Linked DNA regions of Mus musculus: all the other regions are reported to be linked to region 1. The links are microRNA targets in miRTarBase. Many come from high-throughput screens and were not tested one by one. Region 1 holds a microRNA gene; each other region holds the end of a gene's coding sequence.
The links. Region 1 holds the annotated microRNA mmu-miR-495-3p (AAACAAACAUGGUGCACUUCUU, at 1,911-1,932, opposite strand). A microRNA usually pairs through its seed, bases 2 to 8, with sites in the 3' UTR of a target mRNA and lowers its output. Matches are read on the target gene's strand: a 7mer-m8 pairs with bases 2 to 8, a 7mer-A1 pairs with bases 2 to 7 and ends in A, and an 8mer does both.

Region 1 (4,089 bases):
GCTCAAATCTGTCAATCAATTAAGAAGGAAGCGATGTGATAGAAACTAGATTTTTATGTACAGATTTGCCTTGGGAAATTGGATTATAGGATGATTCATTCAATAAACTCTCAAGTCTCAAAATAAGAAAATAAATAAACAAAAGCACTTGCCATCTGGCCAGACATCTGCTCACATACCATCAGCAAGGGGCTGATGCCCACATCGTGTTCCTGAACCTGACACCGGGTACAGAGAGCCCTTCAAGGAGGGATTTTGTGCTCAAAAAGAGGTCAGCGTTTAATATCTTCCACGAACAAACACCATGATGTGGACACTGTCCCTTGGGGCCTCTTGGAACAGCTGCGGCAATCCTGCCCAGGCTTCTCCTGTGAAAAAGACAGCTGGTGAGGTATTGTGCCCAGAGAATATTCTACCCTCAAAGATGGAAGGCTCCCTCTGGGCCTATACGTACCTGGGATGTAGGGGTGAATAGCAGCCCTTAGAAGCCTGCCAATAAAGCACAAAGCTAAATGTGAAATGGAACTGAACAAGTCCGGTTACCTTGGGATGACCACCAGAGGCATTTCTGTCCAGGTGTCCTTTGCATTCCTTGGATGAATCCAAGACAAACTCCCCTCCAGAAGTTTGTGGGCCTAGGGGCCTTGGGCTGGGTGGCAGGTGTCACAGATATAATGTATGGCGTGCTCACTGCTCCACCAGCACCGAGGCCAGTACCCACTAGATGGAAAGGGATTTTCAACCTAAGAAAATGGGTTGACCATGCTTGTTCCATGCCCCTTAGCCTTTCTCCATGGGTATAAAGGGAGAGTTGCTGCTTTTCCAAAGGTGTTTCCATCTTTTATAGGCAGAAGCCAAAACACAGGTACAGCCACAGCCCAAGGGCATCACTGAGCCAGTAGAAACTAAGAGCTAAGTGTGTGGCTAATCCTGGTACCTCTTAGATGGAGTTTGCACTGGGTTTTGATGCGCTATGGTTGTTGAGCCACGTAAGTATAAACAAAGCTTTTATTCCAACTTGAGCAAAGAAAGAAATAGCTAGTATCCTAGCAAAGGGTTGCCTAAGAGTGATCCCATATCTTGTACTGGCTCAGCTTCGGAAACCCTCCAGGGGAGATGGATGGATGAGGTGTTCTCATACTCTCTGGATTGTATCCTCCCTCCCACTCTCACAAGAGAGCCACCAAAGGGCCCTGCTCAAACAACCACACTCAAAGGCAATTTTGATGCCATGAGGAGGCTACCAGAGAATGTTAGCCATAAAGAGAAGTTCACTAGGGAAAAGGGGTCTGAAGTGCCGCCTTACATCTACCACTCCAGAGGGCAGGGGTACCAGTATCAGAGATAAGAGACAGGCAGCAGTGGCTGATGACAGCTTGCTGTTCCCTGGTCCCAATCGTAGCCAGCACCCACCAGTCCTCAAGGCCTTGCTAATGGCATCAAAGAGCACAGCCCGTAGACATGGCAGGATGCTGGTAAAGAGCTGATCTGGGGCCCAGGCTTTTCTAGAGTCATAGTGTTATGTGACACTCACCAACTGACATATCTTGGTAAAGACACCTGCAGCTGACATCTAGACACATGTCTCCAGAAGGAATTGGTGGTTTGGCTTGTATTGGCTGTTTGATTAAATTGCTATTGTTTGGATTTTATAATTTTCTGGGCTTCTCTTATCTGAACTCCATCCTACAACAGAGCCTAAAAGTGCGCTTCCTGGTTTCCCTTACTGACTGTGCCTGTCCCAGGAGGTGGGCATTCTGGACCTAACAATGCACAGAGCCAAGAGGGGCAGGTGAAATTGTGCTTCTTTGAGGTAAATGCCCCTGTGCACATGGTGACCCAAACCCCCTGGCCTCCCGTCCTCCCTCTGGTCCATGGGGAGCTCTCCAAGGTGAGATTTGATATCGAAAAAGAAGTGCACCATGTTTGTTTCGTCACAAATAAAAGCGAAAAATAACATGGGCAACTTCTTTTCAGGTACCACGGCTGAGCTCTTGCTTGTTCCAGCAGTGTGCCTGAGTGTGAAGGGATGCTGAGGGACAGGCGGAAGGAAGGGATGGTGGGTGAGGCAGATACTTGGCCGGGAGGGGGACAGGGATGGGGGTCCTGAGGCAAGGGGAGTGGCTCAGTACTCATCACTGCCATAGCAATCCAGCCCAAACCCCCTCTACCTCAGGATCTCAGGAAGACCTGGGACGAAGACTGAAGATTCTGAGATGTTGCCTACCATCCTTGCCAGTCATTCTGAAGTGTCACTCGGGGGAAATGGGATGGTGCCAAACTCCAAGACAGAATCTCCTCTCTCAGTTCCAGGATCCTCTTCTGAAGCTGAGAAAAAAAAAAAAAGTCAAAGAACTAGGTGGCAAAATCCAGGGCAGCCTAAACCAGCTGTGTGAGTGCCTGGATGATGCCCTCTGAGGTCCCCCCTCTCCCGCACCCAGAAGTGACTTACGATGTAGACAAATACAACAAAGAGCTCACAGGGTACTGGGAAGCAGAAGAACAGGTTGAAATGGGAGGCTCCAGGATTCTGAGCGTGTGAGATGTCTGGGGATGCAATGTCCGTTCATCATCTTGCGGCTGTCCTGAACGGGACATATGACCGACCCTTCCCTGAAAACAAAACGCATTGATTAGTGTGTGTTACCGTTACTGGAAGGTTACAACACTACAGCAATATATCTGAACCACAAAGGAAAGTGACTTGGTACCAACTACCTACCTTAGACTGGACAATGGGAATAATGAGCAAGAGAACATACCATCCAAAGAATGCCAGTTACACTCATTGACAGGCCACTCAACAAGGAGCCATCCATTCCTCTCATAGTAAGGAAAGGCCCACCTCAAGCTGACTTACACACAAAGGAGGCATCCAGGCTAATATAACTTAAAGGTACAGTGACGTGTTGAGCTTCAAGGAGTGTCGGATGCAGGTCCCAGATTGTACTGTTACTCAAATGTCCCATGGTTCCTCTGGGACAGGCACTTCCCCCTCTGTCTAAACAGCCCTGGGTACTGTCCTCTTGAATTCTAGCTGGCCTTCAAACTCAGGGAACAGTGAGATCCACTCAGACATCTCTCACAGAAATGAAGACTCATTCCCCTCCCAGAAGTCTCAGCAAACATCTCCCTGTGGGCTAAGGTCTCATCTAGGAATCAATAATGTCTGGTCAACTGGTTCCTTTGACACTGTGTTGTGGAGGAGGGAGGAGGGAGCAGGAGCCAACCAACCCAAACCCATTCTCATTAAGAAAGGTCAGAGGACCATTCAAGAAGGGAGATAAACTCACACAACCCAGGCTCACTACATAGACTACTTTCCTAGACTAACATGGCTTCCCTGAAGTCAGTAAGTAGTTGAACCCCCGAAGTCTTCAACGTAGAATAGGATGCTGAAAAAGAAGTGCACCGCGAATGTTTCGTCACATATAAAGCGAAAAACACGCGGGCAACTTCTCATTAAGCACCGTACGTCAGCAGCATGGAACCCTGTGTACCACTTGTGTACCGCTGTCGTCACTTCCTGTGGCTTGAGTACCGCTGTCGTCACTTCCTGTGCGTGAGCAGGCGATCACGCTGCAGCCCCGCTGTACCTAGGGGGCTCTCACAGCTGTGCCCGCTCCACGCAGGCAGAATCAGGATCTTGTAGACAGGCTTTGGATTGGTCATCCTTTGGGGAGGTCTTTGGAGTCTCCTCAAACATCAGAGAATGATATAATAATCCTGACTTTGCTTCCCAAAGTCCAGCTCTGGATCCGTGACAAGAGAGGAGGTGGGTCCCGTGACCTCTCAGTCGAGGTCACCACCCATCTGCTAGAGGGGAGGACATCAACCTATGTTCCACGGTGGAGGCCCTGATGCAAGGAGGTTATCATGAAATGGGAAACAAAAAGATATCTGAGCCTTTGTCAGAACGAGACAATGTCTCCTGGACAAAAATATATGTAAGTGGCATGTGGTGTTCTGAGAACAGATTCTGTTGACCCTCCACTTGCTGGGAAATGGAACATTGAGATTAAAAAAAAAAAAGAACATGAATAAAGATAGACTTCTTAGGTGTTCCAGGTAGATAGTTGGTTGCCTATG
Region 2 (4,089 bases), not on the chromosome of region 1:
TAGAGTTAAATTAAAAGGTGGAAAAATGGTGAAAAGAAGGTACACCCAATGCTTATCACAGCATCACACAACAGACAAACATTCCGACTCCACGTGCTGCTCGTGGGCCATTTAAGCACAGCATGAGCTAAGGGCTGACATGTGTATGGGTTTGGATTGTGGCTGTCTCCTTTCCCATGGATAAGGATATAGATTGCACAAGGATACCTTTTTGGTCTTTATTTCTTCAGAGCATGAAAACAAACAACTGAAAATGAAGTAGGTGACAGTGAGGAGAGGGGACATTCCACAGTACAGAACATGCTGTGCCACTGGTGATGAAATCACAAACAGTTAGAAACTTTATTGATTTTTGTTTTTGTTTTCTGTGTCAATAATGTGTACCAATTGTCAGGAACAGCACCGAGTGTGCCTGTCCCCCTAAAGCCGTGCACAATACACACAAAATAAAAATAATCAAACAAATCAAATGAAATCATTTACACATAATAATTAAGAACCCTGAAGATCCAGATCAGATTTTCCCTACAGCATGAAGACTGAAAAGGCAAACACACCAAAAAGCTTGAACTTGAAACTGACCAACAGCAAGACGTTCTTGGGAAGTTCTCTGTGAAATTCACTACAGAATTATTGACATTCCGAAGATGGCTTAAAAACAAAACAAAAAAACAGAACTAAACAAAAACCAGTGCAAAATCTTTCTAAGGTTTTTAACCACATATATCCTTTGACTAGATTTACTGGGTATGTCTAGGCTAGCTTTCCACTTTTAAAATCTAAAATTAAGATTAAAAAAAAAATCAAAACAGGATGGCTTAGAGGGCTCCCCTGAGGAGTCCCCACTGTCACCACTGTTGGTGGCCTGTGGAGTGTTGTGATGGAAAGGTACCATTGCCACAGAGACTAAACACCGGCTAATTAGCTCTTCTCAGTGATATTGGTCACCACCATAGTGTCCTGCTTGGCCTAAATTAGGAAGATAAAAATACCTGCGAGTTGGCCAAGGCTATAAAGAGTACTTTTCCAGAGCTAAAAATTACATTCTTTTAGGAAAAACAAAACATGAGCATTTGGTCAACTGCCTTTGTTGTGCAATTTTAATGTGCCTAGGTTAAAAGTCATAATTCCTTTTCTCTTCCAAGATCAAAACTGTCTCAGTGTCAACTCTCACTCTCTGAGGAGGAATCCCACTCACTACATTCCCCTTGGGAGCAGGAATTTGGGCTGTCTTGGTCACTGTTCTGCTCCCAGGTTGTAGTATTACCTGGCCTACTGAACGGGCAACAAGTTTCTATTCACTCAGTCACTACATGTTGGTTAAACAATGAATGGTTATGATCACTGAGTGGAAGGAGGGAAAGGAGTTCTCAGCTACATTTATCTCTTAAGTATCTGGAGTCAACGCAGAGGGCCAGAAAGGCTCAGAGAAGTGTCTGAGAGATGGGCCAAGCCGTCCCATTTCCCATCAGTAGAATCACAGCTTTTGGAATGTTGGGTTTATCTCTGCTCTTTGGTATTTTGAATGGAAAGAGTCATTCCTTGCAATGGTTACTCCCAGTCTCTTTGAGTAACGTCCTCTTAGTCATACCCAGTGGACCTCTAAAGTCCCACTGGTCACTCAGACTTCCACTCAGGAGTTGCTATCTGAACTGAAAGGTGAACAAAACAGGGCTCAAAACAGCCTTCTCCATTAATAAAATCAACTAGCACTATCTATCATCTGTGCCAGACAGAGCAGATGTGCAATAAATATGTTGGGGGAGGGGTGGTGTGGAAATGGTGGCTGTAAAAATCCAGGCACATCCAAAGTATCCACTGGTCTCCCAGCCTTTCTTCTCAGTCTACCTGAATTAATGGGTGATTCTTAGAGACCTCTGATGTGCTCTACATGGCTATTATTTCATAGACATCTTTGTAGTTTGCCTGCTATCCTCTCAACTTTAATATCTTTTCACACGACAATTATTGCTTCTTAGTAATGAGCGTGCAAGATTCATGAACAATAAGCCATTTTCTTCTTTTATCCCTATTAATATCCAAACTCAATCACAACTCAAAAGGAACAACTCAGGTGAAAAGAAAACTCACTTATGTCTTCAATGTCCAATCAACATCGCTGAATGGGAGGACAGTATTTGCTATACTCTACTATATACAGATACGCTTTGTTTTATTTGTTTTTCGTCCATGCACTGTGTAATGGGGATCACGACAACAGTCCCTAACAGGCACATGAAGGAGGGGCAAATGTTCAGTCATGACTGGAACAGGATTGTGCAAGCCATGGATGCCACTGAAAATAAAACGGATGGAAAATCCCAGGCAAGAGCAACATGGGACCTGGACACACGTGATGACTGAAATGGTAGGGCTTTGGGGGTGGGGTTAATTTTCCTCCTTGCAGGGGCTGGGTGGAGGGCAGGAGGAGGTCTGGGATGGAAAACCCGGGGAACAGGCTGGGCTGGAAGGAGTAAGGGTCTTGCTAATCACAGTTCAGAGCTAGAAATAAGGGATGAAGGGTTCTATGAGTTCCTGGGAATCTAGGCACATTATCCCTGTACCTGTTGAACAAGAGTGCCAGACACCGTATCCTTAAACTATGTCTAGAACCATTGCTTTTCCTGGCTCCTTTTCAGCTCCCATGCTTCTCTCTGGAGGCAGTTCACCACTGTTCACATTCCGGAGATAAGCATACAATTTGGTAATGTAGTGAAGATGTGGTTTTTTTCTTCTTCCACGCCCAGCTCCTTCCTTAATCCAAGTAATGTTTAAAGTGTTCGGAGGAGGTGAGGAGCGAATCTTAATGATTCTAATATTCATCCAAAATCCACTCCCCTTTGGGTGGATCACTACTTTCTATAAGGAGAAGATCTTGGCCCTCCAAACAAAACAAAGCAAAACCAAAACCAAAACCGAAAGCCAAACATCAGCCACCCACATCCCTCCCTCTCCCCCCACCACTGGAAACAAAACAAAACAAAACAAAACAAAATAAAACAAGAAAACAAATAGAAGCCTTAACCATTTAAGAACTCGGAGAGAGTATAGCTCTTCTAGGACGAGCTGCAAGATGACCCTGCCTCCATGCCTTGTTCAACTTGATGATGCCCGGGAATGGGAGATGATGGTTTCTGACTTCCGGCCTAGTACGGATGTTCTTGAAGCTGGATTCCATCAGCAGTTTAAGTGAACATGACAAATGTCAGTTTCCTCTGTTCATTATACATAATTTTTATGTATATATATATGTATACATATATATATATAAATTTACTATATCTGATTGTTCCTTTAGAAGCCCTTTATGTGGCAGTAGGCTTCCAGGGAGGAGAAGAAAATGTACAAGAGCCACAGGAGCACAAACAGGGAAGATGTGAGGAGCTTGGCAGTCCGGGGCCCTCCCAGCTCACCTCCTATTTCTGGCCTCCGCCGATACAGCAGCACCCCCACGTTGATGAAAGCAAAAATAGTGAAGAGAGTGACAGAGAAAGCTAGCGTGCCGGGGGACACTTTGAACTGTTCCCCGTTGGCCGCATGGTAGATGGCAGCAATGGACCAGGCCACGCCGATTCCCAGGAAGACATTCACAGCATTGCTTCCAGTGACATTGCCTATAGACGCATCTGCATACTGGTCCTGGGTAGCTGCTACTTTGCTGGCAAATGTGTCTGCAGAGAGAAGAAACAGACCATGACACTGAGTTAACCTTTCAAAATAGAGTCATGAGGTACAAGGAGCTTCTATTGTGTACACTAGACTCAAGCCCACAGTAGACTTCTCTGTCTCTTTTGAGTCAGTCTTATGGTCAAAGGAACAGAACACAGATCTCAGGAGCTCAGGGCTTAGTGCTGCCTGCATCACTGACGGAGAAAGTCATGTAAGCTAAGTTTTTTTTATCCACAGATACTATAGCTTTTTGTCTACTGGGCTTGCATGGCAGGTTTTCCTTTTCAAGACTATTTACAGCCCAAGTTATAGCTATATCCAGTGGGGACTTTCAAAAGACTGACTATTACAAGACTCTATCCAGCTGTTCTTGGTCATAATCCCTGGGGCCCAATAATCTATGTTGCCAGAATGCCAAAA
Region 3 (4,089 bases), not on the chromosome of region 1:
ACCTGGATGCTCTTTGTTGGTTTGCTGGGTTGCTGGGTTGTTGGTTGCTGGTTGGAGATATCTTGCCGACTGAGACTGGACTTGTCCCCAAGGAACTCTAAGCCCCTAATCGGGAGGAAGTGGTCTAAAGAGATCAAACCCCCTTTCCCGTCTAACCTTCTTTCTCTCCTACCTGGTGTTGGGAGGTTGGAAGGGGTAGGGATGGCATAAGGTGGTAGAGGGAAAAGAATCCAGTAAAAGTTAAAAGTACAGGTACATACAGCCATGGCCTAGGTGCTTAACCCAACCCCATGCCTTTTGCTAATGGCTCCTACCCGTTTATGCGCCTGCTGCTTCTGCTTCTTGTTGCTTTGTGATTGCTTACATTCACAGATGCACACACACACTGCACACACGTATTCTTTATGGCCAGCCTTCACCTCGGCAACAACTTTTAGGCAATGGTCAAATTCTTTCGGAGATAGATATTACTGCTGCTTGCATACCAGAATCTGATTGTGTCTGTCTGTCTATCTATTATCTATCTATCCTATCCTATCCTATCTATCTATCTATCTATCTATCTATCTATCTATCTATCTATCTATCTATCATCTTAAGGAAGTAATTCAAGAGAAGGACTTGTGAGTCTTGGGCTACAAAGGATTCATTCAGAAACATGGCACCAACATCCCCATACTTGGGAGACAGATTGCTTTCCCTCTGGTACAATTTAGCCAGTGTCAAGAGACAAGAAAGCCGAATTTGGAGAACTTGGAGTTTTAGGATCTTTGAGCTTTTGAAGCTGACTGCTGGCATCTAAGAGTATTTCAGCTCCTTCTAAACCAGTAGGATCTGTGCCCTGCCCCCCCCCCCCCAATCTCCAAGGTGCTTCTCTAGAGGTACTAAGACCCATGCAGGGGTTTCAGGCTTCCAGGAAGAATTTACAGTAGAACTGTGTGCAGGTTCTGACTGCACTGCTGTGCCTACGTGCAAAGTCGCATGAGTGGAGCTGTGTATTGGCACGGGAGGTGCTGGATGCATTTCACTGCTTGTCTCCTATGCTTGTCTGAGCGAGGTTCGACTCTTTCCCCATGCAGTTACAAAGAACTCAGCCCCTCCGTAAGATCTCATGAAAGCCCTTGCTTCCATGGAAGCTCTGGTAACCTTACATCTAGCTGTTATAGATAGCGCCTTGCAGAGTCTTTCTCAGACTTGCATTTGAAGAACTTCCTCATGGGCCTACCAGTAGAGACCTTTTATATTTAATTGTGTGAGGATTTGCAAACCTCCCACTGCAACCATTCCAACAGAATGGAGATGTCATGGTCTCCATTCCTTAAGACTAAGTGAGCCATGGTATTGTTCAAGAAAGAGCCAAGGGGCACATGCCCCATCTACATGTTGGGAATCTCTGCTGAAAATAGCTAAGCACAAATGGCAGTCATTCACCATTTGGTTTCAACAGGTGGCTCCAAGGGTGCAACACCTTTGGGGCTGGTAGCTTTCAAAATGCTATTAAAATACATGTGAGGATTTTACACAAAAGTCGAGGCATTTTTTTTTATAGCTAAACAATTTTATTTGCTTTCTGTGAAATTAAAAAAACAAACAAACACAAAACGAACCATCGTGGTTAAAGGCGGATCAGTGTCAACCAAATGAACCAGCCACTTGGTTCCAGCAGCTGTGAAGAACACGAGAGGATATTATTGCTTTCGTCCCATGTTCATGTATGTGTCTGTTGTGTTTTGGCAAGAGTACAAGCGGATGGAGCTTTGGTTGTTGAAGTTCAACTAGGCCTACTCACTGAAAACAGAACCTCTAGGTGGCTATATGTTCCTTCTCCTCAAGTCTTGACGTGTACTCTTTCCTTCCACCCACCTTCTCTTTCCGTCAGCCATTTGCCCTATTAACAAAGTTAAGGGGGAAGGCTTGATAAGCTGTCCCCCTCCCCGCCCCCCTTCCCCTGCGGCTCCCTCTCTGCCACAAGAGGGTGATGCCTTCCTGGGTCTTTCTAAGCTCTTGTATCTGGTATGTGGCCATGCCAGAAACAAAACGCCTGCCTGTGGTCTACACAGCTTTTCAAATCCATATGGCATTTGGACTCAACTGACTCTTTCCTGTCTTCAGAAACTCCCTCCCCCAAACAAAAACAAACAAACAAACAAACAAACAAAAATCAATAGCCCTTAGCATCAGTAAGGTGACCTCTCAACAGAATGGGCCCCGGTGTCCAGCACACGACATCCCGTGGCAGGTGTGGAGCTGTGACTCTCTGATGATTGTGTGTGTGTGTGTGTGTGTGTGCACACACGTGTATATTATACTGTAACATTTTATCTGCAGAGAGGCAATGACGTTGATGCCGCTTGAGAGCTCCCCTGCTTTGCAAGTTCTGTTCTAACACTGATCTTCCCAAGGGACCCGGGGTCAGAATTACCACATAATAGCACCATTCCCCACACTCTTAGGATTTGGCTCCTTTCCCTGCTTGGAGAAGGCAGGACCTGGCCCCTAGCTTTGTGCTTTCACAGGCTCTGTGGTGAGACCGAGTGGAGAAGCAGGTGGTCTGCCTTGGCCTACTTTAGTGGTGACCTGAATTTTCCCTGGGAAGAGTTAAAAAAACAAAAAGAACAACAACAACAACAACAACAACAACAACAACAACTTGTCTTACAAAGTGAAGTTGGCCTCAGGTGTGAGGCCGAGGTGATTGACCTGAAGACAGTGGGATGAGCCTTTTCCCTTTCCCTTATCTCTGTTCAGGCCCTAGGACGGTTTGCTGGTGAAGGCACAGCAAAACCACAGAGCACTTTTAAGTCACCAACCCTGACATAGTTATCCAATGGTAGGACTCGAATGGCGTTGTAGGGACCCGGGTCCGGCAGTCAGTCATGCCCCTGATAGGATTGGGGTGGAATAAGCCCTTGTAATGATTGTAAGGATTGTCCTCTTTGAATCTAGACCTCTTAAACAGTAGGATATTTGCCCTCACTGTAGCTATATGGCACGGATAACCATGTAATTACTAGCACTTAAAAAGGAGATCCTGTAAATACATAATTATACCAACGTGGCTCATCAGAGCAAAGATTAAGCGCTTCTAGCTTGAATACTTCAGGCCTCTTCAGCTCAACCCTTTACCTCCCAACGAAAGGATAACTCTGTAATTATGAGTGATGCTCAGTGGTCACGTGGGCTGAAAGAGTCACGGGGGGGGGGGCAGCTTCGTGGTCAATGTGTGGCCTATAAAATAAAGTAATACACAGTATTGTCACCTCAGTGAAATACAAGAGTCCATAGAAAAATATTCTCCAATCTGGAATCTGAGACACGAAAGCTGGATTTTGTTTTTTTTTCTTTGTATCAAAAGGAACAAAGTAACGGACTGAAGTGTAGTAGCTTCCTAACCAAGAAAGAAAAAAACCAAAAGGACATTCTGGTTGAAGGACTTCAGAGTCAGTCAGCTTTCCTTTTATGTCCCTGCTCATTGGTGGCAGGGCTTGTGCTTTGATCCTGGTGGAGGTAAATGCACACGAGTGGAAAAGCCAGGGCCCCAGACCCAACTGTGCGGATGGCTAAGGAGACTGGTTTTTATAGTAGAGCTGTCAACAGTGGAGGTGGCCCTTAGCGGGTGACGGTCCCCTCTCTCCTCCTCAGGCGACAGCTGGGGACGAATGCCAGAAACACCACTTTCTCCTTGAATGGTGCTTGTTCAGCGCCAGGTCCTCTTTCTCTCGTTCCCTCTTCACACGCTGGTAGTGGTCTTCCTCCTTCAGGTACCACACAGGGGGCCAGCGGTGCCGCTCAAAGTACTCCTGGTTGTCTGCGGGGAGAGGGGGAAGAGACTGCCCGTGATTCCTGCTGCCCGAAGACTGTCCTGGATGCTCAGTCCTGCTTTTTGCCATTCGTAAACCTCCCAGCATGCTGGCATGGCTGCCCACAGATGCTGAGACTAAAGTCTAATGTGTAGACTCTATGCTAGGCACACAGACCCAAAACCACTTGATTTTTATTCAGAGTTAGACCCTGGCTGTGTACCCCTAAATGAGGGGAGGCCTTATGTTGGCATGCTCTGCAGTGGGGTACCCTCAACTCCACTCCCTT
Region 4 (4,089 bases), not on the chromosome of region 1:
GGCTTCACACCCAATGCTATTTCAGGAGGGGTGACTTCGTTATCTGGCCACGGATTTGGCTGCTTGGCTGCATCTGGTGTTGTATAAACCCACTGTGACATCCTTAGAGACCTGTACTGTGACATCCCTAGTCTTACACTGAACACTGTAATAAAGGAAAAGGCTTGTTGAGATCTCGCACGTTCTGCTCATTCTGTCGTTTTATTATCCAATTGTCCGTTACAGTCCCAGTCACGTTACAGAACCAACCGTTTCCACCCTTGTCATATTGTAAACCACATCGGCAAGTTAATACATAAAGCTTTGCATTTCAAAAAACTAGACACTTTAGTAACAATATTACAAAGGTTTTTAGCTTCAAAAATAACTGAAATGAAAAAAATAAACCTTTAAAGAATTAGCATCATAAAATTAATTTATTCCAAGTAAAAATACAAAATAATATTATGACGTTGACCAGATATGAAAGTCCCTCCCAGAAACAACTCTAGTAATGATTGAGAAAGCACTCCTTAAAGAAAATACGAAATAAAATGAAAAATATGTAAATATGTTTAATTTTTTTTCTTAGCAAAAAATCTTTCTAAAAATAACAATGAAAATTTGTCTCAGTACAAAGGCTACGTTACTATTGAAAAAATACCAGCATGAGGGAAAGGTACATATTTGACAGTAGAAAATGAGTTCTGTGAGTCACAATGTCTAAAGTCTGCAATGAAAATAAGTCTGCAATAAAGGTTTAGGCCTTTTTTCTTGTCTTTTTTTTCTATTTTTTATACAAACAGTACAAACAGTATTGCACATAACAACAAAGAGTCGAGGTTAGTTACAGCCTTCAAAAAATCCACTAGTTCAAGTGTCCCATCAAGGAAAGGCCACAGCAGGACCTGTGTTACCCAGGGGCTTCCCAGTCAAGTTGCAGGGCAGAACACCTCTGTGTTTTTTTTAAAAAATAATTTTTTTGAAGGACCCTCTCTTTTAATATAACATTAAGAACTTGGGGGGGGGGCACATTTATTTACAAAACAAAAGGGAACATGTTATAATTTAATAAACTAAAAAAGTTCTCTTTAAAAAAATACAAACAGAAGAGCTCTTTCACAGTCCTGGCCAGTCACACGATCAACACTTGATTATAAATATACAAATTAAGGGAAAGCAGTTTCCTCAGTCACAGCCCTCAGCACCAAGTGGAGTCTCTGACAACCTGGTCTCTGCGACACTGTGGCCTTCGCGCTAGCTTACACTGCGCAGTCTTCTGGCTCCTCTAGAGCTCAGGGTTATTTTAGTACATGAAAGAGGGGTGCTTCTTCCAAACATTTGCATGTTTCACATAATTAGGTAGATTTCTGTAGGTTAGATATGATCTTTAATATTATAGTTATAAAGCTCTAACTTCTTCATTTTCAAAAAACACAAATAAGCATGAAAAAAATAAAGTTACCCATCTGTTAAATCATTTTCTTGCAGAATTAAATTAATATATATTTTCTGAATAAACTTACTTAGAAAATATCATTTTCTTTCCTATATTTCAAAATTGAGGTATTGCAAAAGATCATGTCAGTCAGAAAGCATGCCTTTTTCCTTAGAAACAAACAAGCGAAAATCATCAGCCAACTTTTGAAAACGTTCTAGAATATAAAAAGTAGTAGTGCGTAACAAAATTTCCCATACAGATGAAAACAAAGTAAAACACAAACATAGAAAAAGGAACCAAAGCAAAGCAAAGCACATCTGGGCTGCAGGAAAGCAGTATTACCAAAGGGTCCAGGGGAAACCCGAAAGGGGGAGGGGTCTAATAGGCATCTTTTAATTCAGTAAAAAACTATTCTGTTTCTCCATTTTTTTTTTTTTGAAAACAAACTGTAGCTGGAGAGCCAGTATTCACAATTAAACACTGGAGAGAAAAAGAGAAAAAAAAGAACCAACTATAACAAAACCACACAACAGTAACTTCAAGACAGAACAAGGACATCACAGCACAAAAGACACATTGACTTCTGTCTACTCTGCAGTGCCACATCCAGTCAGATTGTCCCCAGAATGCAAAACAAAGGAAGAAGGGTTTAAAAAGCAAGCGTTACAGAGTCTTGCAATCACCACGTGTCTCCGTTACTCTCTGCAGCCCAGGAGTGAACACTAAAAGGTCCGCGCTAGCACGAGCAGGGCTTCACTCTAGTCAAGCTATACAGGATGCATCCAGGGAACTAAGCAGTGACCGTCTCACAGAAGGCCCCTCTGCCCAGGCTGGCTCGCTTGGTGCAGACATTTCTTTAGCATCACCCTTACGTGGCCTCCTTAGCTATGTGCCTCCGTGTCAGTCTGCCGACTTATTCTAGACACTGTGTGTGTTCTTAGTGTTTGTAAGCTGAGCTCTTTGGCTGTCTGGACAAGGTCTGAAGCTGGGTGAAGTGGTGCAAGCACCAGGAGAGGTCCTAACTCGGAGCTCGTGTGTTAATACACCAGTTATGAATGGTCACGCTCATCCACGGCTGACACGGCTTCAAACAGTTACGTTTGATCACAGTTAGACATAATCACTTTACTATATAAAATAAATTGCACAATATGTAACAGAGCACCGCAGTACTTCATCCCCCCCCCCCCCCCAGGGTTACTGGAAGAGCATCCTACACTAGGTTGTCTATTGGTTGTAATACTGGTCGCCCTGTTACAGGCTCTCGCTGTCCACGGGCAGTCCACCCACTGAGGCATGCCTTCCTCCCACAGATTACCAAGTCTTTGAGTGAAAAAGAAATTCTTTTTAAAAAAATGAGTATTTTATAGCTTATATAGATTCTTAATTTGTGCACTGTGGGAAGGTTTTATACTAGACATTGGATATAAAATTTATTGCATGCAGCAACCGCATTAAGTAAACATGCAGTCAGGAACGGCGGCCTCCGATGGCTCTCTCTGGTCTCATATGATCTCCCTCCGGCAGCTGGCTCTATCCCTAAACCACAAAAGTGTGTTGTTGGGTTCTTGTTTTTTGTTTTTAATTGATACCTTATCCTGAATAGAGTATTATGGTATCAACAATACCATTTTAATAGCAGCAAAAGCTATTGCAGCATAAATTTACATAACACTAAAAGATCTAACCCAAATCCTCAGCAAAACAAAAAATCAAACATGAAGGAAAATGAAAGACCCAGCTTGTGAGGTATCCATACACGTCAAAGTACAGAGCAACTACAGGCTTATTTTCATTAAGGGCTAACCTTACTCTACGTGACCCCACTATTGAGTGCTGATTGTAAAGTGTTTGCTACGTCGGCCTCTACGTACATGTGTGGCCTTTGGTAAGTCTTGTCCTAGGGGTGACTCTCTAAGTCTCTGAAAATAAGCGTGCTCCAGTCAAGACCAATCAGAGCAACGACAACACGACATCAAACACAGAGTCACAGACGTCAACCTGACGGCTGCGGATGAGAATGGCAGTCTACGGAACTGTGGAGGTGACAGACAGGTCAGGTATAAGAAATCAAGGTACCAAGCAGACAAGGTGTGAGTCAAAGGTGCAAATGGGTACCGTTACACACTCTGTGATTCTGCATTATACTGGACGTTGAGTTCAGTAATATGACTGTAAATGATAATAATAATAATAAAAAGACCCATTTCTTCTTTAAAAATCGAGAACGAATGCACAGATTTCCAGAACACCGTGAGCCCTGAGGCAGTGCCCTCTCTTCCTCCTTGTGATCTACTCCAGTACTTGTAGCTGTGGCGGCCTGGGGCTCAGCTCCAGCGGAACGGGACGTGCCGGGGGCGGTCGCCTCCCTCCTTCACCAGCGGTTTGTGGAACTCACGGCCGGCTCGGGAGTGGATGCTGGCCCAGCAGTATTCACAGTAGTACTGCAGACAGGTGACGTTGGCACAGAAGAATGGGGCAAACTTCCCCCCGCAGCGTGTGCCCTGACACTCGTCACACATCTGATCATCCAGCACGTACGGCTTCACTTCCACCTGGACCCAAAGAGGAGAGACAGGAAACGGGTCAGCAGGGCTTCCATCTGAAGCTGCGTGGGCTCGACTGGCTATCTCACTTGTAAAGCGCACAACCCCCACACACAGCTGTGC
Region 5 (4,089 bases), not on the chromosome of region 1:
ACAGTGATTTTTTTTTTTTTTAAAAATAAAACAAACCCAATCTTTCTCTCATTTGGGAGGGAAGTAGGTAAGGAGAGAGCAAGCTCGGGAGCTCCCAGAATCTGCTTAGGATCCACTCCAGGGCTTGGAGAGGCGATGAACAAACCCATGCCATCTGACACCCTTCAGCTCTGGGGCCCCCAGCGCTCCACCAAGTCCCGGACGGACTGAGTGCATCCGCAATGAAACCGGTCACTGTTACTGAGGACACAGACACACCCAGAACCAAAAACAAAGGCAAGGCTAGAATGAAGTGAGACTGCCAACATGGTTTCCTCTCCCCATTCAAACTGTGGAGTGGGCAAAGGTGCTGTTCTGCTGTTACTCAGAGGGAAAGGGGGCCACAGGGACACATGGATAAAGGAAGTCAGAAAACAAAAACAAAACAAAAAAACCCAAAAACATGGAAGCGAAGGCACTCCAAACTATATAGATACACTATACATTGCTAGAGTTATTGTTACAATAATACAGGCCGGTACCTACTGTACAGAGTTAAAACTATATGGCTTTAAAAAGCTCGTCTACATTTTTGTCTGGTTATTGAACAGAATCACTGCCCTGAACAGTAACTTTTTGCTCATTAATAACAGTTCCTGGGTCCACATATTTACATACAAAACAATAAAACTTAAATTTAAAAACATTGAAAGAAAATATAATATACAAGCTTGAATTTGGTGAGGAGCTTTTAATTATTATTTACAAAAAGATATTCAGAGACCTGGATCTCACTTGGATAAGAGTTCTGGGATCCTGCCATGATCCTTGAGAAAGAAAAATCGTGCACCTAAGCCCTCATATATGCATGCATGCCCACATACATACACACACACATACACACACACACACACGCGCGCGCGCACACACACAGGCACACACTCACACACACACGGACGCACACATGTGCGCACACACGCACACGCGCACACACACACACACACACACACACACACACACACGCGCGCGCGCGCGCACACACACACACACAGAGAAAAGCACCTGACTTTCCTCCACTCTTCTCTTACCCCGTATCTGGGGGTGGGGAGTATTCACTAACAAGCACTGACTTTTATGGACTCTAGCACGCACACCAAGTCTGGAGTACTGTCTGTGTCGGGCTGGGCAGTTTAATCTGAAAGCAGGTTCCCTTCTCAGGCCACAGACCTGCTTGCTCAGATTCTTTACAAATTCTTTCTGAAAATGGTCTTCCAAGTCACCCCCTTCAAGGAACTATGCGGTCAAATAACTTAATTTCAGAAGTCTTTCGCACGGCAATTATCTGAGAAGCGCTTTACCAAAAGCGCCTTTGTTTGCTTTGGGCTTGCTTCCTTTCTTGTCAAGTCTGATCTAAACGGAGGTCTGAGAAACCCCTTCGGTGGCCTGAAGAGATCAGCCAGCCGCACAGCCTCACTGATGTCTTTCTAGCATCAACTCATTTCGGCAGACAATACAACTCTCTTGGAGAGTTACACACACGGTCGGAGAAGCAAGGCAGGGTGCTAGGGCCTGTATAAGGGCCGCCAAGAGACTCCTCTTCCTAACCACCTGGAGGGCAAGACCTCAACGTGACTTAAGGTCAGGTAATGAGGGTAAAGGAGTCTGTGTCTCATACATAACCAAGGGCCCTACAGCCCTAGTCATCAGCTCACCTTAGCAGATGTGTGGGGAGGGAGTGGGAAGGAAGGAAGGAGCGGTGGCCATTACTCAAGTGATCTTTAAATGTAAAAGATAACTGATTGTGCCTTAAAGATTCATAGGTCAAGTAATGGCCCATAAGCACCAAGGTTCATTTTAGAGTATATAAGGCCCACAAAGACACCAACCTTAAAAGTATCAACAAACTAGTTATGAGTTCTGTTCCTCACACAAACGTAATCCTTCAATCCACCTTGCTTTCCAAGGAATATTGCTTTTTCTTCAAAAAACAAGAGACTGATTCTTACACCATTCATTGATAAACAAAGAAAACAAAAATAAAACTCTTAATGGTGATGGTGGGGGAACATTCTTTTCATGATTCAGTCAGTCAATTTTGATACTGTAGACAAAAAGAAAAGGCAGTATTGAATATATGTATATATAAAACATATATACACATTAATATAATCAGTTTTCCTATAAAGTCAGCAGATACAAGTGACTTTATTATTTTGATGTGTGGTTTTTAATATTACTACCACTTAAAATCATAGTGGCCGATCTGACATGCATCAATAAATAAATTTAAAAAGCATGATGTTAAAAAAGCAGAAATTAAATACAGAGTCTAGATTTGGATTTAAAATTAGAGCTATGCATAAGAATGTGGCAATTCTTGCAAGCTTGGTTTTCAATTAAAGTAAGGAAAACAAAGCAGTAGGCTGGCTAACAGTTCACATTACTTAGCTATGATGTCTTCTCTCAAGTGTTTTTCTAAGGGAAACGACTTTATTAAAATCTGGACAAGCTCACTCACAGTGGTGAGATCTGCCCCTGGCCTGCCACCTTCCTGTTCTTCGCTTTCCGATGCACCCAGAGCTGCCCCCTTAACACCATCTCCAGCCTCATCCTAGGGTACCAGCTCAAAACAATACCGGGAGAAGCAGGCGGCCTTTGGTCAGGTGAACCAAGATCTACCTCAGGGCCCAACAGACTCTGTCGCGCTCTCTCCTTTGGCAGCAGCCTTCCTAAGCTGGCATCTGCAACACCTGCACTGGTCAAGAGCAAAACAAACCTTAAGTAATCCATCTCTGATCTTCCCTTAGAGCTTCAGATTTTAGTGACCTCCCTGGGCTACCAATAATACACCTTGGTTTTTCTTTGTCTTTTTTTTTTTTGTCTGTCATACCTGACATCACACGCCAAAGGCAAGTCTTCAAATCCTAAGGATAAGTACACATTGTACAAGTGACAGTAAGTCCCTGGTGAGTTACACCTGCTAAGCTCCCAACCAATTTCAAGCTGTGCACTGTATCAAAGTCTTACGCCAGGCTTTAAAAGAAAACAAATCCAGAAAATAAACCAGCACAGAACAGGTTTTCTTCTGTTGCGGTGGGGGCGTGAGGCAGGAGTCTGGTTTTTAAGGTATACAATAGCGGACTTCTGACTTTAAAAAGAAAAGAAAAGATTGTCGTGGGAGAGATTGTGTTTAATGCTCTGCTCCTCCCCGCCCAACCCTCCCCACCTCTTGGATCTCCTGAAAAGTGAGAATACAATGAAACTGGTTTGTATTTATATAGATATTTTACAAGGTTAAATAAGAACAACAATAAAAAAAATTGAACACTAAAATGAACAGGGTTTTTTTGTTTTTGTTTTTGTTTTCCTCTTTTTAATTTTCTTTCCAAACGTGACCAGTGTTGCTGAGTGGCACTCAAGTAAGTGCTGGTCTTTCCCGCGCAGCTGGCTCCTGGGGGCTGTTCAGGTGGAGTTGGAAGCTGATGCAGAAGCGGCGTTATTGGTCTGTCCACGGTCTCCAGCATTAGTATCTGCAAATCCAAAGGCCCAAGAAAGCGTGAGCAACGTTATAACACTGCAAAGAGCACAAGTACACCACTCACCGCACAGTGCTGAGGCCTACCAGAGCTGTCATTGCCTATGTGGGTTCAAACACACAGCACCAGGACTTCCTTTCTGCTAGGAGCTCAGTGATGGCACAAGTGTGCGTGCACATGCGTGTGTGGTGTATGTGCGTGTGGCAGTACACTTAATGCATCACAGACTCAGGAATTTGAGGTCACTTCTGTCAAGGCTTTGCTATAGCTAGTACTGACCGGCAGTACTCAGGTTGGAGTCTAGCTTACTGAAAATAAATGACACTAGCTAAAGATCCTGAGCCGTGTTCCAACAGGCCATCTGCTAAGGGCCTGGACAAGTGAAGACACAGCAGATGCCAAGAACACATAGGAACCTTACCACTTAAGGGTAAGCTGTTCAGTTTATCAACTTCACGACCACTTTCTAAAAACTGCACTTCCTCTCTGAACTCTGCATTTTCCTGTTCCTCAAATAATCTGCCCTTCCATTCCTTTAGCCCACTAGGGGGCAGTCAACAGGGGAATGCTTTTA
Region 6 (4,089 bases), not on the chromosome of region 1:
CTACAGGACAAAGAAAGGAAGAAAAGGAAGGAAGGAAGGAAGGAAAAAAGGAAGGAAGGAAGGAAGGAAGGAAGGAAGGAAGGAAGGAAGGAGGGAGAGTGAGCATGTTTGTCAACTTTGTGCTGCAGAAAAGCAGCTAATAGGCTGCGGGGGAGATGTATGTGTCAGCTTCGTGGGTTACTGTAGCTGTAGCACAAGCTGGGTGACTTCCAGCAGCACAGCATTCTCACTCTAGAGGCTGCAGGCTCTTGGCGGTGGTGTGTGTGTGTGCGTGTGCATTCTGTCTTCCAAGCTTCTGGCACTGCCAAGGATCTGTGACTTCCCTTGGCACATTGGCTGCTTCACTGTTCTCTGTCGCCATCATCACGTGGCTTTCTCCCTGCGTGTCGGTGTCCAGATTTCCCTCTTATTCAGTCCCACTGGACCAGTGCCACCCACATGACCTCATCTTAACTTGATCCTTCCACAAAGACCCAGTTTCTAAATCAGGCCAGTGTTGTCAGGTAAGCCAGGCACGAGGATATTAGAGATTCTTTGTGGGAGACAGTTCAACCCACTACAGTCATTTAAAAGGACAGGATGGCATGGACTCAGCTACACCATTAACATGCTGTACATAAAGATGGCATGCAAGGACTACTTCAGGCAGAGGTGGGGTGTAGCTTGGTGGTAGGAGGGTTGCCCAATGTGTGAAGCCTGGGCTTGGCTCCTTCACTGAAAAAACAACAACAACAAAAACCAACACAAGAGGGGCTGGCATGTGCCGAAGACTGCTCACCTGGCATATGCAGAGCAAGCTCTGGGTCCAGTCCCCAGCACCACGTGAACTGGGTGCTGTGGCACGCACCTCTTATCCCAGCACTTAGGTGTTAAGAGAGGAGGATCAGGAGTTTGGTTATCTTGGGCTATATGAGTTTGAGGTCAACCCGGGCTACCCAAAAGCCTGTCTCAATCAATAGACGAGAAAAAGTGTCCTCCCGGTGAGACTCGTGGAGCTGGCGGAGGTCTGAGGCCAGGAAGGCATCACTCCCTTACCCTGCTCTGCTGGCTGCAGTACCTCTAGAAACTCTTGTCATATACTATTTTAGGAGCAGCTCTTGGGGTGATTGCTAATCAAAACTGTCAAGTACAGAAAGCCCCTGAGTGAGGGCCACAGCACCAGAGACAGCAGGGAGGGAGAGGAGCGGCTCTCATGAAGTAGCCACTGGTCCTGTGTGGCCAGCTGTCGGTTGACAGGCAGAGCCCAGGGCTGGGCCTAGAAGATACCATGCTAACGTCACAGGTGGCAGTGTAGCCTGGCAGTGTCAGAGGAATCAGAAAACTCACAGCAAACCACCTAGGAGCTAGACGTGTGTGCATGTTCCTGAGTGTTTATTCCAGGACTCATGTTCACTCGCATGCTATTCCAGAGCAGATGTACTGGGCATGAGAGGCTCTGCCTCTGGCTGGATGACTATGTGGACTGACTCCCCTGGGGTAGGGGGAGAGAGTCTTGGCATACAGGATGAGATGGGGGTGACAGTTGGCTGGGCTTGGTGCTTTCTTACTGGAAAGGATCAGGTGAATTTGTGACAGTGGCAAGTAGGGACAAATGTGGAGTATTGTCTTCCCTGTGAAACTACATCAGAAAAGTGATGTGGGGCAAGCGGGGGTGGGGTGGGGGGTTGTCTTTCAGATGCCCATGCCCAGAGGCAGACATCAAATGAGTAAACTAGGTAAGCATACTGCAGGGTTGTATTCTGTAGGTTTGAGCATCAACCTAAGCCACTGCTGTTTCCAAGGAGGGTGGGGTAGGTATGCATGTGTTCAGTTATTTGCCCAACTAGGAAATAAATTGATACTTTAGCATATACACAGATTAAAAAGAAATCCACCCCCACCAGCTTCTATGATGATTCTTGTTGACCGGGCCTTGTTCTGCAGCCTGGGCTGGCCTTGGATTGAATGCAGGTTGCGGGCAGCCCTGAAACTGGGAAGGTCTCCGTCTTTACCTGCTGCACTGGCAGGAGTGTGCTGCTGCCCCCAGCTCACGTGATGGGTCTCTTTTTAAAACAGATTTATTTTGGGCTGGAGAGACCACTCAGCAGTTAAGAGCACCGACCGCTCTTTCAGAGGTCCTGAGTTCGAGTCCCAGCAACCACATGGTGGCTCACAACCATCTGTAATGGTATCCGATGTCCTCTTCTGGTGTGTCTGAAGAGAGCAACAGTACTCATATACATAAAAACTTTAGCAAACTGGTAGACAGGATTTATTTTAATTTTCAATCTGAAAAACAAAACGAAACAAAACCCCAAAACAAACCCCCAAACTCTGCTCATATATACACACACAGATATATAGTGTCAACATTTTCAGAGCACTGACACTGGGGGCTGTGGGGGTTGTGGGGTGTGGGAGGGGAAAGAGTTTCCCTTCAACTGCATGACAATACTGTTTTATGTGTCACAATAAAAGTTACAAGCGTCTTGTCAGCGGTCACACAAACATCATGAGTTTACATTTCAACACACAATAAAAAAAAAGACGTCTTCCGTTACTTCTTCCCTGCGACCACAGCCTGTTTTCATAAACGTTTAGAAGACCCTACAGTGGCTGTTTGGAAGGCATAGCCTTTCCAGATCCAAACTAAAATCTCCAGAGATTTTCCACTTGAGAGAACAATCAAGGTTTTATTCGTAGGTATGGTGACGTCTACTCACCAAAGGATGTAGGTTGAAACCTGCATGAGAGTAAAAATAAATAAAGCGCTGTTGCCAAGCCGGCCTCGCTAACACGGCAGCCAGAACAGGACGGATGCAGAGCGCTTAGAGGCATCACATCACATTTTCAGTTGCCTGTACTCAAATTAAAACTTTTCAACCAATTAAGTGAAAAGGAAGAGACTGGGTAAAAGGTCTGAAGATGCTCACACTTGGGCTGGGTGTCTCTTCAGCAGCACTTTGGGGCGTGCGGCAGCGGCGGTGACATATTGCGTTTGGACATAAGGCACCGTGATCTGGACGTGCCGTTCACTCACTTTCTGTCACCTGTTCCATCCCAGTGACTTCTTTGAAATGAAAAGTAGTACTATTTCAGGACACAGTGCACTTTAATGACATACAGCATTGAAAATCCTTCAGACAGGTCTGAGGGCAGTCTTTGAACGCAAGCCTGAATCTTCAAGCACATAAAATCTTTTCCTATACTTACAAATCACTGGAAAAATACCCATCGCTAAACCCTGGTATACATTCTTAGCCATTTTACTCTCTTCTATTGCAGCCAGTGTTCATGAGGCAAACCGTGACCCCGAGACTTTGTTCAAGTTCTCCTGCGCGGGCGTCTACATTCACGGCGGTCATTCAGTCTCTGTCTCCTTCTGTTTGGCACCTGCCAGGGAGATGGAAAGTGGGAGTCTCAGAGCTTGTGCTCGAGGCCGAGGCCAGGATCCCTGCACCCAGCCTGGCAGTGGCTTCCAGACAGAGAGAGGTAGGAGGAGTTAAGTGGTCACAGAGCCCCACCCCTCCCACCATCACCTCGGCTCCCTTATCACACCTTCCCATTCTAAGTGTCGATTCCACTGCTAAAAAAGTAAAAATAAGCAGGCAGGGTTCTTCCAGCTGCCACACTCAGAAGATTATTACTTTTTTAAAAAAACAAAGCATTACAACACATCTAAAGACAACCGTGTGCAGCCGCTGGGTTTCCATAGGAGACGCAGGCAAAGCCACTGCACTACCCACGGCACCTCTCCAGCTCTCACCTGAATGAACCTTTTTAAAAACAATTTCATGTGTATGGGTGCTTTGCCTACATGAATCGCTATACCATGTATGCGTAATGCCCACGGGGGCCAGGAATCAAACCTGAGTCCTCTGGAAGAGCAGGCAAGTGCTCTTGACCTCTGAGTCATCTCTCCAGCTCCTGGCCTCTCTACCTTCTGAGGGCATACTGTGTCAGGCTACACTTAACTTGGAAAGAGATTAATAACGTACTAGAGCAGAGGGCTGTCCTACAACTTTCTCTATCAACCAGGCTGGTCTTGAACTCACAGAGATCTGCCTGCCCCTGCCTCCCGAGTGCTGGGGATAACGGTGTGAGTGGAGG

Region 2: the mRNA of Slc8a1 is a reported target of mmu-miR-495-3p. Seed matches in the 3' UTR shown: 7mer-m8 at 239-245.
Region 3: the mRNA of Rhobtb1 is a reported target of mmu-miR-495-3p. Seed matches in the 3' UTR shown: 7mer-m8 at 2,150-2,156, 7mer-m8 at 2,146-2,152, 7mer-m8 at 2,142-2,148, 7mer-m8 at 2,138-2,144, 7mer-m8 at 2,134-2,140, 7mer-A1 at 1,893-1,899 and 2 more.
Region 4: the mRNA of Cpeb3 is a reported target of mmu-miR-495-3p. Seed matches in the 3' UTR shown: 7mer-A1 at 1,935-1,941, 7mer-m8 at 1,861-1,867, 7mer-A1 at 1,660-1,666 and 7mer-m8 at 1,594-1,600.
Region 5: miRTarBase lists Gsk3b as a target of mmu-miR-495-3p. Seed matches in the 3' UTR shown: 7mer-m8 at 2,749-2,755, 7mer-m8 at 1,878-1,884, 7mer-m8 at 139-145 and 7mer-m8 at 30-36.
Region 6: the mRNA of Prkag2 is a reported target of mmu-miR-495-3p. Seed matches in the 3' UTR shown: 7mer-m8 at 2,298-2,304.

What each region holds. Positions count from the first base shown.
Region 1 is chr12:109,716,638-109,720,726 of GRCm38, reverse strand. Mir495 (microRNA 495) reads right to left here and starts at 1,973; the gene lies at 1,911-1,973. Mir666 (microRNA 666) reads right to left here and starts at 3,642; the gene lies at 3,544-3,642. It overlaps Mir543 (microRNA 543), which reads right to left and starts at 3,469; the gene lies at 3,394-3,469. Mir667 (microRNA 667) reads right to left here and starts at 721; the gene lies at 630-721.
Region 2 is chr17:81,385,397-81,389,485 of GRCm38, forward strand. It overlaps Slc8a1 (solute carrier family 8 (sodium/calcium exchanger), member 1), which reads right to left. Exons shown (of 11, transcript NM_011406.3): 11 at 1-3,671. The coding sequence ends at 3,295. Among named protein-coding and RNA genes, the nearest start is that of Gm33944, 100 kb to the left of the region's middle.
Region 3 is chr10:69,289,239-69,293,327 of GRCm38, reverse strand. It overlaps Rhobtb1 (Rho-related BTB domain containing 1), which reads right to left. Exons shown (of 11, transcript NM_001252637.1): 11 at 1,537-3,808. The coding sequence ends at 3,639. Among named protein-coding and RNA genes, the nearest start is that of Gm40685, 21 kb to the left of the region's middle.
Region 4 is chr19:37,021,113-37,025,201 of GRCm38, forward strand. Cpeb3 (cytoplasmic polyadenylation element binding protein 3) reads right to left here. Exons shown (of 11, transcript NM_001290827.1): 11 at 179-3,975. The coding sequence ends at 3,748. Among named protein-coding and RNA genes, the nearest start is that of Btaf1, 97 kb to the left of the region's middle.
Region 5 is chr16:38,239,922-38,244,010 of GRCm38, reverse strand. Gsk3b (glycogen synthase kinase 3 beta) reads right to left here. Exons shown (of 11, transcript NM_019827.7): 11 at 1-3,509. The coding sequence ends at 3,442. Among named protein-coding and RNA genes, the nearest start is that of Nr1i2, 53 kb to the left of the region's middle.
Region 6 is chr5:24,860,516-24,864,604 of GRCm38, forward strand. It overlaps Prkag2 (protein kinase, AMP-activated, gamma 2 non-catalytic subunit), which reads right to left. Exons shown (of 16, transcript NM_145401.2): 16 at 2,220-3,372. The coding sequence ends at 3,341. Among named protein-coding and RNA genes, the nearest start is that of Rheb, 20 kb to the left of the region's middle.